Drosophila melanogaster: one gene and its partners. The protein of the gene in region 1 interacts with the protein of each later gene in a pairwise test. Each region holds a gene or a part of one and is shown in the gene's direction. Other genes may lie near its edges. The genes, in order: Vps52, RpS15Aa, CG32809 and CG8141.

The links.
Region 2: the proteins of Vps52 (region 1) and RpS15Aa interact in a two-hybrid assay, tested with the Drosophila melanogaster proteins (one large-scale study listed by BioGRID).
Region 3: the proteins of Vps52 (region 1) and CG32809 interact in a two-hybrid assay, tested with the Drosophila melanogaster proteins (one large-scale study listed by BioGRID).
Region 4: the proteins of Vps52 (region 1) and CG8141 interact in a two-hybrid assay, tested with the Drosophila melanogaster proteins (one large-scale study listed by BioGRID).

What each region holds. Positions count from the first base shown.
Region 1 is NT_033779.5:5,520,557-5,525,435, reverse strand, and holds Vps52 (vacuolar protein sorting 52), read left to right. Parts: upstream 1-1,537; 5' UTR 1,538-1,619; coding exon 1,620-1,764; intron 1,765-1,821; coding exon 1,822-2,423; intron 2,424-2,485; coding exon 2,486-2,701; intron 2,702-2,756; coding exon 2,757-2,912; intron 2,913-2,968; coding exon 2,969-3,087; intron 3,088-3,153; coding exon 3,154-3,274; intron 3,275-3,428; coding exon 3,429-4,058; 3' UTR 4,059-4,146; downstream 4,147-4,879. Other genes in the region: Elp4 (elongator complex protein 4), read right to left, coding at 1-1,026; cl (clot), read right to left, coding at 4,147-4,300, 4,736-4,817.
Region 2 is NC_004354.4:13,335,103-13,339,714, reverse strand, and holds RpS15Aa (ribosomal protein S15Aa), read left to right. Parts: upstream 1-2,076; 5' UTR 2,077-2,210; intron 2,211-3,335; 5' UTR 3,336-3,337; coding exon 3,338-3,730; 3' UTR 3,731-4,078; downstream 4,079-4,612. Other genes in the region: CG15747 (uncharacterized protein), read right to left, coding at 111-1,263, 1,330-1,340.
Region 3 is NC_004354.4:1,689,653-1,694,432, reverse strand, and holds the start of CG32809 (uncharacterized protein), read left to right. Parts: upstream 1-1,664; 5' UTR 1,665-1,994; exon of another isoform or gene 1,995-2,136; intron 2,137-3,075; 5' UTR 3,076-3,120; coding exon 3,121-3,226; intron 3,227-3,299; coding exon of another isoform or gene 3,300-3,302; coding exon 3,303-3,353; intron 3,354-3,420; coding exon 3,421-3,560; intron 3,561-3,624; coding exon 3,625-4,233; intron 4,234-4,245; exon of another isoform or gene 4,246-4,554; coding exon of another isoform or gene 4,555-4,780. Other genes in the region: a6, read left to right, coding at 1-190; b6, read right to left, coding at 4,555-4,780.
Region 4 is NT_033777.3:13,189,863-13,193,192, forward strand, and holds CG8141 (uncharacterized protein), read left to right. Parts: upstream 1-1,736; 5' UTR 1,737-1,838; coding exon 1,839-1,941; intron 1,942-1,990; coding exon 1,991-2,607; 3' UTR 2,608-2,647; downstream 2,648-3,330.

The sequences.
Region 1 (4,879 bases):
CAGTTGGCGGATCTTGGGCACTAGGCTGGCATCGTACTTGGCAATCAGGTGCATGGGCATCGTGATCAGGCACACGGAGTTGCAGTTCCGCACACTGGCCATCAGCAGTGTGAGAAACTTGATCAGATCCTCGCCGAAGTGTTCGTCGTACCACAGCGGCGATCCCAACGAGGTCAGGCAGACGCGGCACAGGTTATTCTTGGTCCCAGCGACGAAGCTCTCGTTACGCAGCAGCTGTTGAATATCGTTGAGCAGTCCTTTGTACCGAGGGTTGTGGAACACCTGCAACGGCGAATCCTGGCTGCCTGTTTTTGTGCTACTGGTCACGCTGCTGCTATTGTTATTGTTGTTATTATTGTTGTTGGCAGAGTTCTCCTCCTCCTGGGCTGGCATCTTCTCCTGCGGAGCGGTCTCCGTGCCCGGAATCGGTGGGGCATCCTCCACGGGCTGCTGCTCCAGCGACGGAGTGGTTGGGGAGCTGCTCTTGGAGAACTCCTCGTCAATGACGATGTCCAGATGCTTGGGGCTATCGTCCCACAAGGTAGTCTTGACATTGTAGAGCATCATGGAGTCCATCTGTTCCATCAGATTGAAATGGTGTCCGATTTTTGCTGTGGCATGTTCCGAATTCACCAGCGGCAGATCATTGTATCGCCAGGCGATCCTTAGGCCATTTTCGGCGCCAGCATCTCCCAGCGCTTGCACCTCGCTTTGCTCCATCGATTCCTGGTCGGTCAGCGGTCTGGGCAGACGGCGCAGCATCTCGGCTGGAATGTCGTCCAGGCTGCCCAGAAATATCTCCTGCTTGGAAATCACACCCTCGGCCAGAAAGTACTTGGCCAGCACCTTGGCGTGCGTCATGAAGCGATCCTCCTCGATCAGGCAGATCGAACCCATGGGCAGACCGCCGCCAATGACCACGTCCAAGTACGGATTTCCGCTGGAGGTGATCACCTGCGCCGTGTGCGGTGAGGTGCGGGTGCCGCGGATTGGCTTCTGCACGGTGCGCTTGCGGAAACTGGTCATCTTCGTCGCACAGATTTCGCTAACCTTTATTTTTTGCGTTCTTTTTTGCTATGTGTTTCCTTCTCTTCGCGTAAACTTCTATTTCGATACTTTCGATATTATCTATTCTCGATGGCTGCCAATGGGGGCACACTCTCCAATTGTGTATCGATAGTCAAAACAGCTGTTAATTCGCAAGTTCTGGGTAGGGCGATAGTTTAGCTTTTATTGCTTAAAAATAAATTTGTGTTCATGTTGTATAATTGGTAGAATATAAGAGGCACAAGTCAAGTGTTGTACTAGAAAAGAAACTCATTGATTGCTTGTGTACAAATAAATGAATAATTGAAAAAAATTGGTCTTAAATTCAATTTCAATTTTCACCCAAAAATTAATTTTAATTAAAATTGTATTAGTTAAGTAATTTTTTATATGAACCAAGAAATCTTTTTTTTTTTTGAAAACATAGTTTAGTTCTCATCACCAATATTAGGGTCTTTCCAAAAGCACATCTTACTCCGATAACAAAAACAGCTGTTTTGATGACATACTTTATTTTTGTTGGTAGTTGAGAAAAACAATTGGGAAAAATACCTTTAAATTGGAAAACAAAAATGGCCGAGGTGCCGTCCCCGCAAATGACGGAACAACTGGACAACGAGGAGGTGCGGGAGATCCTAAAGAACACCACGGATCTGCGGCAATATTCACGACAGATTGAAAAGGAGTTTAAGGAGGTGGAGAATAAGTCCATAGAGGGTAAGCACCATGTTCCATATGCAAACTTAGCTCTAATGATATCCCTTTGAATACCAGACTATATAGCGGAGTCGCAGAATATAGCCAACCTGCACAATCAGATAAACGATTGCGACGATGTCCTGGAGCGCATGGAAAATATGCTGATGAGCTTCCAGAGCGTTTTGAACAACATAAGCACTGAGATCACGCAGCTGCAAAGAAAATCCGTATCCATGTCCCTCCAACTGACCAATCGTCAGTCGGTCAAGGCTCAATTGTCCCAGTTTATCGAGGACATGGCCGTGTCCGAGGAGATGATCAACATAATAATGGAAACCCCGGTTACGGAGCGGGATTTCAGCACCCAGTTGAATGTACTGAATCACAAACTTTCGCTGGTCAAGGAGCTCAGCTTCAAAGAGTCAAAGTCCACCAGCGATGTGAGCGATGTGCTGCAGAAGCTTCGACTGAAAGCCATGGCCAAGATTCGCTCCTATCTGCTGGAGCAGATTTACAAGTTCCGGAAGCCCATGACAAACTACCAGATTCCACAGAACGCCATGCTGAAGCACAAATTCTTCTTCGAGTTCATCCTGTCCAACGAGCGGCATGTGGCGCAGGAAATATGCAGTGAATACATCGATACGATGGGCAAAATTTACTATAGCTATTTTAAGGTTGGTTTTTTTTTCAAAGTTGTGGAAGCATGAATTTTCTTAAATTCATAACTTTCTTGCAGAGTTATTCCACACGCTTGACGAGCCTCAAATTCGAGGAGTCCTGCACAAAGGACGATCTGATGGGCATCGAAGATAATGCATCCAAAGGTTTATTCTCCAAGACGACGAGTCTAAAGCACAAGAGCACCATTTTCACAATAGGAAAGCGAGGCGATATACTTAACCAGCAGCTGGAGGCACCAATTATAGTGCCACATGCGCAGCTAAAGAATCGAGTAAGAGATGTGATACATACACTTGCAAAGGAGATACATCTCAAATTTTAAACAGTACACAGCGGAAGCTCTCTTTCGGTCGGAGCAATACGCCCTAGTGGACAATGCCTGTCGGGAATACCTATTTGTCACGGAGTTCTTTATGGTTCGCGGCACTCAAGCGCAAGATTTGTTCAACCAAATCATGGGCAAAACCCTAACTCTAATGATTGTAAGTCAATGGTTTTTACTTGCGAAATATTAATCATATCTGTTTTTTGAACCTAGAAAAATCTGGAGACCTCCATACACGACTGTTTTGATACCATTGCCATGTTCCTGTGCATCCATCTCATTTTCCGCTATCAGCTAATGTGCCACAAGCGCTGTGTTCCCGCATTGGATAAGTGAGTCTATTCATGGGCGTTGATGATTTTGGTTCACAATTGGATATTTATATGTTTTGATTTCAGATACTGGGACTCCCTGCAGGCGGTAATATGGCCACGTTTCGAACTAGTATTCCGCTTGAATATCCAGAGCATACATGACTGTGATCCAACCAAGTTCAACAAGGAATTGGGACCGCACTACGTAAGTATACGATTTAAAGTTAGTACGGGTTACAAATTATCTTAAATCGATGTTGATAGCATTCTAAAAGTCAAGAGAGGGCCAATAGAGATAACTTTTAACCATTTCTTTTGAACAAAACGCCTTGTCATAATATAATACGTATACTTTACAGATAACACGACGCTACGCAGAGTTCAGTGCGGCCATTGTGGGAATCTCGGAGCATTTTCCTAATGAATTGGTTAGCCGACTGCTTCTGGAACTGCAAAATGAAGTGGAGTGCTTTATCCTTCGCATGGCCGCAATATTTCCAACGCGAAAGGATCAGCTAATCTACCTGATAAACAACTACGATTTGGTTTTGGGCGTGTTGATGGAGCACACGCGAGATAACTCCAAAGAAGCGGAGGCATTCAGAGAGCAGCTCAACTCCCGCAGTGCGGAATATGTCGAGGAGATCCTGGCCCCTCATTTCGGAGGCATTATTCAGTTCGTCAAGGAGTGCGAGCACTTCTTCGAGAAGGAACAAATGGATGAGCTGCGCAAACAGGAGCGAAGAAGTCTGGCCTTGGTCGCCAGCTTCTCGGCCAATTGGAAGAAATCTCTGGAGGAGCTAAACAGGGAGGTGCTTCTCTCATTTCCCTCATTGCTGACGGGCTCACAGCTTCTGCAGCTTGCGTTGGCCAGTTTGGTGCAATACTATCACCGATTCCACAAGCTCCTCACGCCCAATGCCCGCGCCCAGCTGACCAATATCCACGTCGTGATGGTGGAGATCAAGAAGTACAAGAGCAATTACTGAGGGACGCTTTAATTGAATCTGTGTGTGTGTCTTCTGTGTATTCCAAATTGAGTAAAGTTCCAAAATAAATGTATGTAAGGTATACGACTTAATCCTCATCCTCGAACATCATCTCGACGAGATCCTGATTGGAGCAGCGCTCGCCATCCAGACGCTGTGGCCGCTTCCAGCGCAACAGAGTGGGCAAGAAGATCAGATGCGTGTTGGGATCCTTGCGGAAGGGGCAGTTCAAATCCTTCCAGCTGCAGTGAAAAACAAGTGTTAATTTATTGCTTACCACGGTTCAGTGATAACAGGCGGCATGAATACAACTCAAGAGCATTGTAAAGCTATCGTTGTTTAATGGTTTTTTTTATCATGAATGTTCTCGGCGTGTGAAAAAGTACTCGAGTGCTTATTTCATCATCGTACAGTTGGGGTTGAGTGACTAGTTTCACATTGCCAAAATGTTTTGAACTTGATAATCGAATGACAAAGGGTTTTGGCAACTGAATGACGTGGGATATATGCATATATGTACGTCATTCTAAATGACTAAGCCTGTGTTTTGAAACTATTTGGCTATTTCGAACCAAAGAAACCAGCAGATGTTCGCAGTCTCGCAGTGCATGAAATATTAATTCCTGCTTATCTAACTAATCGCAGCTGTTTTCTTCAGTTTGGCGGTATTAACTTACTATGCCCGCTCGCCCACATCCACATGCACGAAGTGCGAGTTGCCCGGGGCCTTCTTCAGCGCATCGTGTATCACCGGCTCCGCTGCAAACGTGAGAAATGAGTTTGGGAATCGGATAGGTTGCGGTTAGCCGCATTGGGATCAC
Region 2 (4,612 bases), on another chromosome or scaffold:
CACATAAATTATTTATGAGCATGGGACAAATTGAAATTAGCATAATAAGCAGACAATACAGAAATCACTGGTTTGTTTTTCCCTCAACTCGAACTTTAATTGGATGCATTTTACTGGAGGCGCGCTCGCTTGCGTTCCTCGTAGCGAGCCAAGGCTGCCGCTAGGACCTCGCCCACGGTCCTCTTGCGCCAGAAGAGTGTGCGATCCACAGGCGGTTTGGTGACTCTCGGCACGGGTAGATCCTTTTCGTTCACTTCGGCATTGGAATCATCCTTTTTGGTGGGGGATTGTTGCGAGGCCTCGGGTTCTTTGGGTTTAACGGGCTCTGAACTTTCCGGAGCCTTGTCCTTATCCTCCTTTTTGATCTGGGACAGCTTATTCTTTTCCTTCTCATTCTCCTTCTCGTCTTCTTCATCGCTGGAGTCGTCTATGCTAAAATCAGAATCGGCATCTATGTTGTTGGTCAAATGTGCCTGCGCTGGTATGCTTTCCGTTTGATCCGTTGACTTCGTGGCGTCCGAGGCTGCGTCTGATTTGCTCTTAGTCTGCTCCTCTTCATCCTCGGAGGGGCGACGTCGCCGATAGCTTCGATGCTTGACAGCCTCTGCCTTAATGGGTTTGTATGCCACCTCGTCGGTGGTGGGCGCCGTCTTTGGCTTGACGACATCCTGCTGGGCGGGACCGCCCAACTTTTGTTCGTATAGATGGCGATAGAAGCCGTCCAGATCCTTTTGCTTGGTCACATCGCCAATGGCCTCGAGGTACTCATCACGCTGCTCCTGCTCCTGCATCTGGCGTATGGACTCGAGCTTCTTGCGGTAGGCGGCAGTCACGTAGGTGTCCTTGTCCTTATACATCTCGCCCTCGGCTTCGCGATCCTTCTGCACCTGCCGTTCGATGCGCAGCTCCTTCTCCAGCTTTCTGCGCTCGGCATGCTCCATCAGCCGGCCAATGTACTTTGGTTTCCGCGGCTCCTGGCTCTTCGTCTGCTTGGCCTCCTCGCGTTTGCTGTCCATGTCATCGTACAGCTCGTCGTACTGGAATATGGTTGGATCCTCGGCCAGGGCCTTCTCCTGCTGCCGGCGGGCCACGCGGCGTTCCATTAGACTAGGACCCATGGATACGCCGCCGGTTCTTGGCTGAAATTGAGGAGCAGCTGGGTCATCATCGGTCTCGGAGTCGCTGTTCTCGTCGAAGATGGAGGGCCTTTCGACTCGTTTTAGAGGTACTTTCTTCTGTTGGCCGGGTAAAATAAGGCCATATCTGCACGGTGTTGAAACGGGTCCTTAAAAAACTGCTCAAATTGTTTATTTTTAACAAATTACTTACTGTTTTGCCATTCTTGTTTATTTATGAATAATTAGTATGACCGTCTGAAGCGACCACAAAAATCCCTCAATGGTGCAAAACTGCTGACAGCAACGCTTTACCGGCTAAAAGAACCGTTGTATATCGATAGGAGGACCATTCGATAGTATTAAGATAATAGTTTGAAACACGGATAGTATCACAAAATTCGTTATTTCAATGTGAAACTACTTTAAAACTTGTGCTTTAATCAACTTGTATTTAATTGTGTTTCAATGGACCAATCATTACTTTATTTTCTGTTTTATTGCCAAACCAAGGCTCTTACCCCTTGAAATCATGTTAGTGCAACTCTAGAGACGTAAAATACACATACAAATATGGCGAAATATTGAAACAAATTAAAATAAATTTAAATATAAATAAATTGTTATGTTAATAAAGCGTTTAATTATCACTTAAGGCCTGCTGTTTTTTTTTTATTTATTTTTTTACGCCAATGGAAACATCGGTCCTTAGTCTGGCTACGCAGAAAAATATAGACGGGATCATGATGCTCGGGGGGATCAGAGAAATATCAAAGATTACTTCTGAAGCCGTTCAAGTCTATTCACATGCATAGTGGCAGTTGGGCTCCAAATAATTGGAAGCGATTTTAGTCAAGCCAGCAACCGCGGCCTGCGTCCGGCTAACTATCGATAGGCACGTTGAGCGTAGACACATTCGACAAACGCGGCCACACTGTTCTGCGTCTTTTTCCTTCCGTTTCCCTTTCTTTTCCCTTTTTCACGTTTGCGTGAGTACGTGTACTCCGAGTTTTGTTCAACAAAATTGTATTTAACTCTCTTTTATTTCCTCTATTTGCAGCGGTCGTGTAAAACAGTTTTTGCAAACAAATCCAGGTAAATGCCGCTTCCATTGGACCCGTTTTAAGCGCGAAAATTCAGCCAGATTAGATTGGCGGCGATCGCCGGCCGAAACATGTGCAAATCCACCCAACTCCGTTTTTTTTATTACCCATTTTTTTTTACTGTGGGCCAATGTGCCAAAACTGATCAGTTTACCGTGTAAACAATGCATGAAATGCCTCGCTACATGCGCTATATATATGTATTTTTTTGGTTATAATTTTTTTAATGTGCAAACGAATATGAAGTGAAAAATTGGCCAAAGTGTGTGGCACAGTGTTGTTGTGCATGTGTGGGTGGGTGTGAGCGGCTTTAAATTGTGGCAAAAAGTTGGGCATTCAGTTGAATCGAATGCACGACCGAAAACCGGCTAAATTAAACAAATTTTTACGCAGTTTAGTTGGTAAACTTACCCGAAATAGTTGTTGTTTACAGCCACTTGTACGCACACACACACAGCCGCAGAAACACAGACAGTATCATTTTTTTTTCTTTGCTATTTTGCACGTGTTTTACTTGCTGTTTCTGCTTCTTTTTTTATTCAATGTTCCGTTCCTCGCTGATTTAAAAAGTGAAGTAAAAAACTGTTAAAAATCATAATCAATATTAAAAAACGATTCGTCGTCTGTCCGCGTGAATTTCCGAAAAGGCGCCACGCCTCCTGCCCTCCAGAAATCTAGAGTATTATAATAGTAGCCACTTTTATTGAATACTTTATTATGCTCATAATGGTTCATATGTGTTAGGGAAACCTTTTTCCAATAAGTCATATGCCACACTTGTATAGGCTCCATAAGTTGATATGTTTTGTTTAGGTGGTCAATTGATCTGTTCTTGTAGTACACATAGTTTTACGTACTTTTCAAGTTAGTTTTTCATTTAATAGGGCTTAAGCTTTGTTAGCCAACCTCATAGTACTACTTATATAGTAGTTATATGCAATTTAGTGAGATACTTTTTTTTAGTAGGCTCTGAGCACGTTTTGCTTGGTTTTGTAGACTGATTTTATAGAGCAATGGGGGTGGCAAAGTCTGCACTTTCGATTAAAGCCCAAGACATCATCTTTTTTTTTCTGTGATTATTGCCTCTTGACTAATTGTGTTCCCGAACATTTTGCAGCCATGGTGCGTATGAACGTATTGGCCGATGCCTTGAAGTGCATAAACAACGCCGAGAAGCGTGGCAAGCGGCAGGTGCTGCTGCGTCCCTGCTCCAAGGTGATCATCAAGTTCCTGACCGTGATGATGAAGCATGGCTATATCGGCGAATTCGAGATCGTCGACGATCATCGTTCCGGCAAGATCGTTGTCAACCTGACCGGTAGGCTAAACAAGTGCGGCGTCATCTCGCCCCGCTTCGATGTGCCCATCAACGACATCGAGAAATGGACCAACAATCTGTTGCCCTCGCGTCAGTTTGGTTACGTTGTGCTCACCACCTCTGGCGGCATCATGGACCACGAGGAGGCTAGGAGAAAACATTTGGGAGGCAAAATTCTCGGCTTCTTCTTCTAGAGAAACCAAGTTCGCATCGTAGAGAGTCTGTATGTGCTGCTAAGGAGTTTGATATGTAGATTGACGTTTTATTTCACCGACCATGCAACCAACTATGTACTTTGTGCACAGGAAACAAGGGGCGAAAACGCTGCTACGTTCATTCAGAAAACAAACGACGATGAATGTTCACAAAGTTACGCGAAATAAAATGATTGATACATAATAATTTTAATAACGATTTTGTCTACGATCCATATACTATGTTAAGCGGTACAGTGATAAATCAATAGCGACAGTAAAACGATCTGTTAACATAAAACCCAATTTGTGTATAATATAACCTCGACCGGAGTTACTTATAGCTGGATATTGTCAATTTTATGGCTGAAATCAAGACAATTAGGATGTTAAGAACGCGCCATGCGGTTTCTTTTGAGGTGCTTAAAACACGGTTACGTGCTTTCCATAATGAAAGTAAGGGCCAATTGTTCCCACTCTTGACACCTTAAAGCCAAAAATGATTAGACCATCATAGTTTTGGTATTCCCACCTAGGTTTCTTATTATTTGTTAGAACTTCTTCACCAAGAAAACCTCAATTACTGTCAAAAATTGTTTATGAAGCAAATAATGCTTGTTAGAATTTGTTGTAGTTTCTATAGAACAAAATGTACATGTAAAACGTACATTTACATGCTTCTTCAGGTTTTCAACTGTTTTCCAGCACAAGTTCCGAATTTATGCTGTAGATAACTGCTGCAATTTTTGAGTAAAAATTTGTTTTAATTATGATAAAGTGTATTCACTCGATGAGTCAAATTTGATGTTATCTCAAGTTATCCCTAGGGAGTACTAGGTTTTTTATGAACGGGTGTTGGGTTTGTGATATTCGTTTTTAGGC
Region 3 (4,780 bases), on another chromosome or scaffold:
ACACGCTGCCGCCAAGCTGCTCAAGCAGCAGCAGCCACAGCTCTCGGTGGTGCAGCATCTGCAGTACGTCGGCGGCGGACTCGCAGCTCCAGTGGCTCTTGCCCTTCCGGTGATGGCAGCAAATCCGACCTCGTCTGCTTCCGTTGTTGCCTTGCCGCTGCAGCTGCCGCGGCGCCGAAAACTGGGATGAGCTGGATGACTGATGACCGATGACCCGCCAGAACCGAGTCCCCATCGCCATAATATCATTCCCCGAGCCGGAAGCACGGCATAGACTTTAACTAGCAGTGGCTAGAAGTGCAAATATGAACGTAGGTTTAGCGACAACACATCACTATTTCCCAGTTATCCTTGAATCCAGGACTAGTCCTTGTCCGGTCGATTTTTGTATCCTTCCCCTTTCCCAAGCACCTTCTCTCCATCTCACTCAGTTGCCCATTAATCTCCCTGTCTCTGTCATTCTCATATTTTAAGCTTTAAATGAAACGAGACGACAACGTACAAATGAAAGTAGAAAAGCATCAACCCATATACATTGTTGAGCAAAAAACACAAATTTCAAAAGATTATAAGAGGGAGTAGAAAATTTGAAGCGAGTGAGAAAGGTGAGCCCAATATTTATAAAGTACAAGTAGCTAGCTTAAGATATACTATGTATATGTACATTTGATTTAGTGTATCATATATTACATGGCTGAATCACGTCGTGTAATCCGTCGCAGTCCGCCGTCTGTATTACATTAGCTGATCACCAAACCGGAATAAATTTTCATTGTATATATATATATATATACATGTACACCAGCTGTGAGAAAAGGAAACTATGCGTATGCCATCAAGGTTCGTTTCGACCAAGCGCTCCTTGAACCACGACTGATCTCTGGCCAGGATTTCGTGGGTGAACTCGTATCGCGCTAGGGCACTCTTAATATAGAGCGAGAGTTGCGGCAGGAGCAGATCCTCAGAGTGGCTGACAAAGTCATGGGATCCTTGGTCACGCGCTTCAGTCGCTGAGCATGCTAATGCCCGCAGTGGTGTTGCCGCAAAACTGTCGAATACAATCGTAAATGAAAATGAAATCGAGTTGCATCTTCTGTGGCCAAACTCACTCGAGTGTTGTCCACGTGCGGCTTGATCGCGCCAGAGTCAGCCAAGTCCAGGATGTGCACGAAGGGCATGACCTGCTCACCGAAGGAAACTCACGAGACGTGATCCAGCGTGGCCTGGTTTTGGGGAGTCCACTTTCGGCGTTCAACTTCGCGGTATCTGCCTGCGAAGTTTAAGAAGTTTAGCCAGAAATCCGATACTATATAGTCTCTATATATACCCACCCACGTCATCACAGTGGCTCAACTCGTACGGCAAGCGGCTGATGTGAGGCTCGATTTCCCGCATCAGTAGTTGCTCCTCCTTCGCAGTGATGAAGTCCCTGATGACCCGCATGTCCGATTCAAACTGGTGCTGCTCACAGCGAGGCCACTGGCCGGGAAACTCCACCAGGGCGTGGCTGCGGGCCCAGACATCCGCTGGAATCCTGGCTACTCCCGGATAAACAAGCCGGCGCAGGACAAGCATGTGTTTCGTCACCTGTTTTTAAAGGCCTTCCGCCCAGTAATCGATTGGAGCCATTCGATAGCCACATGCGCTCAACCGCCAAGAAAATTACTCGATTGCCCCGGCACCAGGTAAACACACACAACAGAGCAGCGTCGGAATGCAGGGATGCCAGGACCTCTGACGGCTGGATGCCAGGGAACTTCGCTGGTCCGGGAACACTCGATTGGTAACGCATGCGCCGTGCAAGCACGCAGTCCTCGTTCGGCTAGGGCGGAAACGCTTTCCGGTGTAGATATACCAGAAATATTTCTGCTCTTCTGGCGTTATGCTGCGTCGGTGGACGAGTGCCGTGTCCTGACTCCAGAAAGCTGTGTAGTGACGAGTGCAAAGCGAAGCGAATTGAATCGAATCTTTATCCTAAGGACACGGCTAAATCGGTGAGCTCCTCGAGCTATGAGCACCTAGACCCGTTAATTGTGAAACCTTCCTGAATCGGCAAGGCAAGTGCGGTTTGAGAAAATGCCAGAAACATCGCCGGTGAACCGCCCACACACCCCCAAAGGTGCATAGGTATACAAGGTACAGCTAGGACGAGATCCCCCATGAAAACCCAAAGGAATCCAGCCAACTGACCGCTGACGTGTGTGGAAAAGTCAACAGACACGAGCTCCCCTCCACCGTGTTTAATGTGCACTCGTGCCCTGGAAACTGGACGCAACTGACACAATTAATGGCGGCTGGGAAAAAACGGGCCGGGGCACCGCACCTAAAACTAATCAAAAATTCCTTTAGTGGCCCGCAATAATGCCGATGGGCAGTGAATGTGGGTGGCTGTGTACATATTCCCAGGCACTGGCACTGGCAAAGGCAAAGGCATACTAAAACCCGTGAAGTGCTGCACTGAAAAGTATACCATGTTTCGTGTGTACCCATCTCTGCGTCCGTTTCCTTTTGGTGCCCCTTCCTCGGATTTCTTGCTCGAGATAAACATGTACATGCAGCCAAAATAACTTGACATGCCTTGTTTAAAGCAACTTCCAACTCCAAAAACGTTTACATATGCAAAACAAATTCGAAAGTGATTCGTGTTCTCTCAGCAAATGGCATCTTAATGGCAACTGCGATGAACAATTGTATTCGGCCAACACTATTGTCTGTTCTGCCAGCCGCATTTCTGGGGTCCCGATCCAGATCCGCATGCAGTTCCAGATCCAGCTCCAGTCACGCCTTCCGCTCTGTCCTGCTTTCTTGCTCCATTCCGTGTTGCAGAGCAGAGTTTGCGCACTCCGTTGCATACTTTTTGCATTGAGCACTGGCACTGCCACTGCGAGGCTCCACTCCATTCCACCACACCCTGTTAAAGAATGTGCGAGGATACATGGTTTATCTACACCAAAGTTGCATGTTGTGTGTGTGCGGTTTAGCGTGTTGTTGCCGGTACCAAACGTAAACAAAGACCAAAAAAATAAGGACATTTTCACGTTACCCATACGCCCCGTTGTCTCTCATTTTCTGCAGCTGCAACATAGCCACTGAGCTCCGCACATCTCAAACGGCTGCAGGATGTTGATCCGTTGGAAGAGTAAGGACAAGAGCGCCTCCTCCAACCAGAGCGTCGGCGGCAGCAGCAGCTCCTCGTCGAAGAAGAAGCGCAAGGGTAGAGAGGGCGGTAAGTAATCGGAATCCATAAATCGGAAGGAAGCGAAATGAAATGAGCCTAACTCCAGCTCCCTCTCTTTCAGAAGAAGACTGGCAGAATGAGGCAAAGTCGGGACGGCTTCCGTCGAATGAACAGGGTATGTTAAGGACCAAAGACGTCCACGGATCTGTAGCCCCATCCTCAGTGTCTATGTGTTTCCCCAGGTGGCGACGAAAGACGACGAGCCATGCGACGCGACGATCCACGACGACATACGCTCGGCGGCGATATGCTGGTCTACGGCTCGCAGCATCCACACGCCCATCAGATGGCGCCCCAGCAACAGCGGGCCATGGATCTGGAGGTGAGCTCCATCTCCCATCTCAACTCGTTTCTACCATCAGTTTCTGATTCTTGTCCCTTCTTAGATGAGTACGCGCGCGCAGAAGAACAAAAAGAACCAGCCGATGCGCGGTTATGCGCCTGTTAACCAGGGACCGCTGTTCGACGACGATCCCGGCATCATGTCGGAGGTGGAAACGGCCAGCACCGGATTCCGGAGGGGCGGCAAGCAGCGCTCCTCGCTCCCCGTGGTACGCACGCCCTCGAAAACTCTGGAACGACCGCTGGGCCTGGTCTTTCTGCAGTACCGCTCGGAGACGAAGCGCGCCCTGCTGCCCAACGAGATCACTTCGATTGATACGGTGCGCGCCCTGTTCGTACGCTCGTTTCCGCGCCAGTTGACCATGTCATATCTGGAGGGGCCCAATGTGAAGATTTACATTCACGATGCCAGCAAGGATATGTTCTACGAGCTGGAGGACGTGCGCTCGCATCTGCGCGAGATCAGGGATCGCTCCGTGCTGCGTCTCTTTGAGTCCACTGAGGTGGCAGCCCCGCCCCAGATTCTGCCCGGCGGCCCTGGAATACCCCAACCCCTGCCGCAGGCGCAGGCCAATTGGGATCAGGATCAGAGCTACTTCAGCGAGCCGGAGTTCGACTCGGACTACAAGCACCAGCATATCCACAAATCAAAGGTAAGTGCTGCTAGATGGTATCAGTTAAATAGTCCTTTATTCAATATCACCGCGTAATTGCTAGGGTGAGGATGTAGGGCTTAGGGAAGCAGGATGGATTGGTGTCCATGAGCGAGTCAAGGATTGTTTGGTGGCCAAATGGGTGGCAACAGTAAAGCGTTGACTCCCACATGGACAATTGTGGCACAAGATGCCCAACCAATCGAATACTTATTCGTACATATATAGAAAAAAAAAAGATATGGAAATAATGGGGTGGGGCTGGGAAAGCTTAAGCTGGGGTCCTAGGACACTAGAATGTTATCCGAACTTTGGGAACAACTAGAAGTTACCACATGGACCCACACTGAGGCCCTTGAGGGCGTTGTTCATGTGCTCGCGCACATCCTTCCACGAAAACACGATGGCACCCTGGAAAGGCTCCGTGTGGCAGCTGCTACAGATGGCCATCACGGCCCTTACCTCCTCCTCGGCGGGCTCTCGGTCGTGCGTGCTGATCTCCTCCTCCAGGCTCATCTTGAGCGTAAGATCCTGCTTAAATTGCTGT
Region 4 (3,330 bases), on another chromosome or scaffold:
CAAACGAAGTTAGGTACGAACTTAAAGGCTTGCCAAGCTGGAAAAGTTAAAGTTAGCTTTTTGGCACAAGTAGTGAGAAGGGGTTGGTAATTTGGGTAGGGGTTTTTAGGAGCGTTGTAGTAGCCTAATTACGCTCCAATGGCTGCCCATCAAAAGTGACAGTTGGCAAGGCAGGGGCTTACAATAAAATTTCAAGTTAAGTTATTGCCGCGCCGCTGGCGAGAGCTACGCGAATACTCAGTTGAAAGTAATTCCAAATTTAATTGCGCACAATTTAGAATGGCGAGATGTTGGCGTGCGTTTAATTAACTGAAAAATAACATAAAAAGCAAAACGAAAACAAAGCCCAATGACAGCCGCGGCGCCAGTGGAAATGCTTAATGTTAAATGCCAACTAATTAAATTTCGGGCATGCCAACGAAGTTGACTGGAGTTGAACTGCCGAATTTATTGTTGCATTTAATGGCCAGCGCAGGCGGTTATCCTTGTGCCATCGCTCGGCTTTACCACTTTTTATTGCGTATACGCTGGGGCACCCCCATTACGTATACGCAGTGTATTACGCCCCTCCACTCACAGCAGGCAAATGGACAGGCTAAAGGATTCGCTTTGTGGACAGGGATATAGGATGCCAAATGACGCAGAACCACTGGCATTGCGATTGTAATTCCGATTGGGCAAACGTCAGTTTCTCTGCGGTCCGTCGCCAAATGAAGCCAATAAAATGTCCTTGTTCGCACGCAAACGTGCGAAAGTGATTCATGTAAACTGATAAAAATTTAATCATATTTCACGTATTAACACGTAATTATTAATGCCTGATAAATGTCGGCAGTTGTGTAATATGTGAAAAAGTCGCTATTAATATGCATTATTTTCCGCTAGTTGTTATTTCACTGGGTAAGTAAAAAGCGCACGGTGTGTCCACAAGCTTCGGAAATACTTTGCTACGCATTACCATATAATTATAGTACTTTAAAAATATTTTATAGATGGTCTTAAAAACTTAAATTTCATTATATTTTACCACGCAACACTCCCGCTTGTTTTTTATTCAGAACAAGAACAGGTTATTTTACACCACTGCGTAATAGTTCTTTATTTAATTCTGTTCGAGTGTGTAATTTCGCTATGAAACTTCACTTTTATTATTATTGTCATTGTTATGTGTGCGAACGCCTGTCGGCGGGTTTATTTGGACCGTCCCGCGCTTTATTTTCTTTTAATTATGTACTCAGCTCACAAATGTGGGTCAATTAACAAGCAGTCGATGGTCCCCATCGATGTCGAAAAATCGGGATTAAACAATGCCGCAGACGTGCTGCCAGGACAATGCAAACAATTGTCAGAATTTAAATGCAGCGGCAACGGACCGCGAAGTTTCCACTCACTATCCGGTTCAATTTTCGCATAAATTATGCCGCCATATGTCACACATCTGGCGAATGCTACGAATTTCGATTTTCCGCCGTTTTTCCGGAACTGTCAAATGCTCGGCGTGTGTAGTTCGCTGTTTTGCAATTCTTGGACGGAATGCTGGAATGGTTTTAATATAAATCACTAAGTGTCTGCAAAACAATCAAAATCTGGCATGAACTATGTTACGGTGAAACTTAGTCATTAATTAATATGCCCTCAAATTTAAGTCGCTGAAAATGTCTTGCTTTTCATATAATCGAGAAATAAAATTACTATTGTACCTAAGATCTGTGTTAAGAATATTATAAAAAGTCGCGTTTGCTTTGACTCAGTTGTCACAAATTTGCCAGGCACAAATTTATATTTATGTAATTTGGAGCATGGGTTTTTAAAAACAATAATCACAAAAAGATTTTGAAATGGAAGCAGTTGCTAGAGAAAATGATCCACCAAATCATTGCTATATAAATGAAGAAGTTCCAGCGAATGAAACTGCCGAGAATCCTAGTCATGGCCTTCAAGGTGAGGCATTCCAATTAAATGGAAAATTATTAATGTTCAAGGTGAGCAGGTGAGGTGATTTCAAAGGGTTATATACCAGACTTGTCCAACGCAAACGTCAATCAGCAACAGCAGCAGGAAAATGATGGCGAAGATGACCTCTTGCCTGGAACTAGACTTCGCTACCGTCGCAGGAATTTGCATCTGGATCCCTATGTGTGCAATGAGTGCAACCAGTATGTGCGTGGTGGTGTGATCACCATCTGTGGTCATTTGTTTTGCTGGACTTGCCTGTGGCCCAAATTGAGTGGTACAGCACAGCCAAGATGTCCATGCTGTCAACGACATTTGCTCATGTACGAGGACATCATGCCCTTCCATGGAGAGGGACCCAATGCCCGTCAGGAGGATAATAATGTGCCGGCCCAGCCGGGCTCAGTGCCTCGCCCGACGGGACTGTATCTCTCTGATACTGATTTTCCCTGTTGGTTCGCGGTCAACGATCCTGTAGATGGGTGCCCAGCGACTTTCCCTGATATTCGCAGGGAGAGGGATCTTCACTGCGCTATAAGGCTTATTCCAATGGTGTACCCTTGGATCGGAGCACAAATTAGTTTTCTCAAGTGGTTCCAGTTGGGATGCGTGTTGCTCATATTTCTGATATGGTCCGTACTGTCGCTGTTCTAAGAGGTGTTTTTGTAATACATTTTTGTTTTTGGTTAATGGGAGAAGAGTGCGTTTTGGTTAATATCTTAAGAGGTTGGTCGGACCTCAATAAATTTCTGCTAATGCTGAAAGTATCTATTTTATAAAATCGAATGATTTAAATCGTATATAACATTCATTATAATTTGTTGCCCAAACCTCTGCAGCCAAGACATTTTCGTTGGAACCCTCTTGCATCTTCAACGAATCGAAGAAATATTTTATGAACTCTCTGGCCAAGTCAAAGTTAGTAAGTGCAACAACGCAAAGTACCGGGGCATCCTGGCCAGCTGAAACAATAAATTCTTGGGGCAGTTAGGAAACCAGACAAAACTGTAAGCAAAGTTAAGCAGCTTTAAGTCGGAACTTAAAGCCTTTTCACCTGAGGAGTATGGAAAGAAACGAACCGAATACTTTGGCTAATGAACCATGGTCAACTGAATATTCGGGGAATTGGGTTAGCCCAATTGAGTTGTTAACCGACTTTTGTGGGGGATGGACACTTGATGACAGCTCCGTGGGGGAATTGGAGTTGCGTGTCGGCCTTTAGCGGCTTGGCTCTGGGCAATATTTATCATTAATTAAGTGAGTGCCGAGAAATCCGTAAGGATATATAACCGAAAGGCAAGTGACAGAAGTTAATGCGTCAGCTAGGTGGAGAAAGCGACACGGACATTGAAAGGAAGCGGATGCAGATGCATCCTG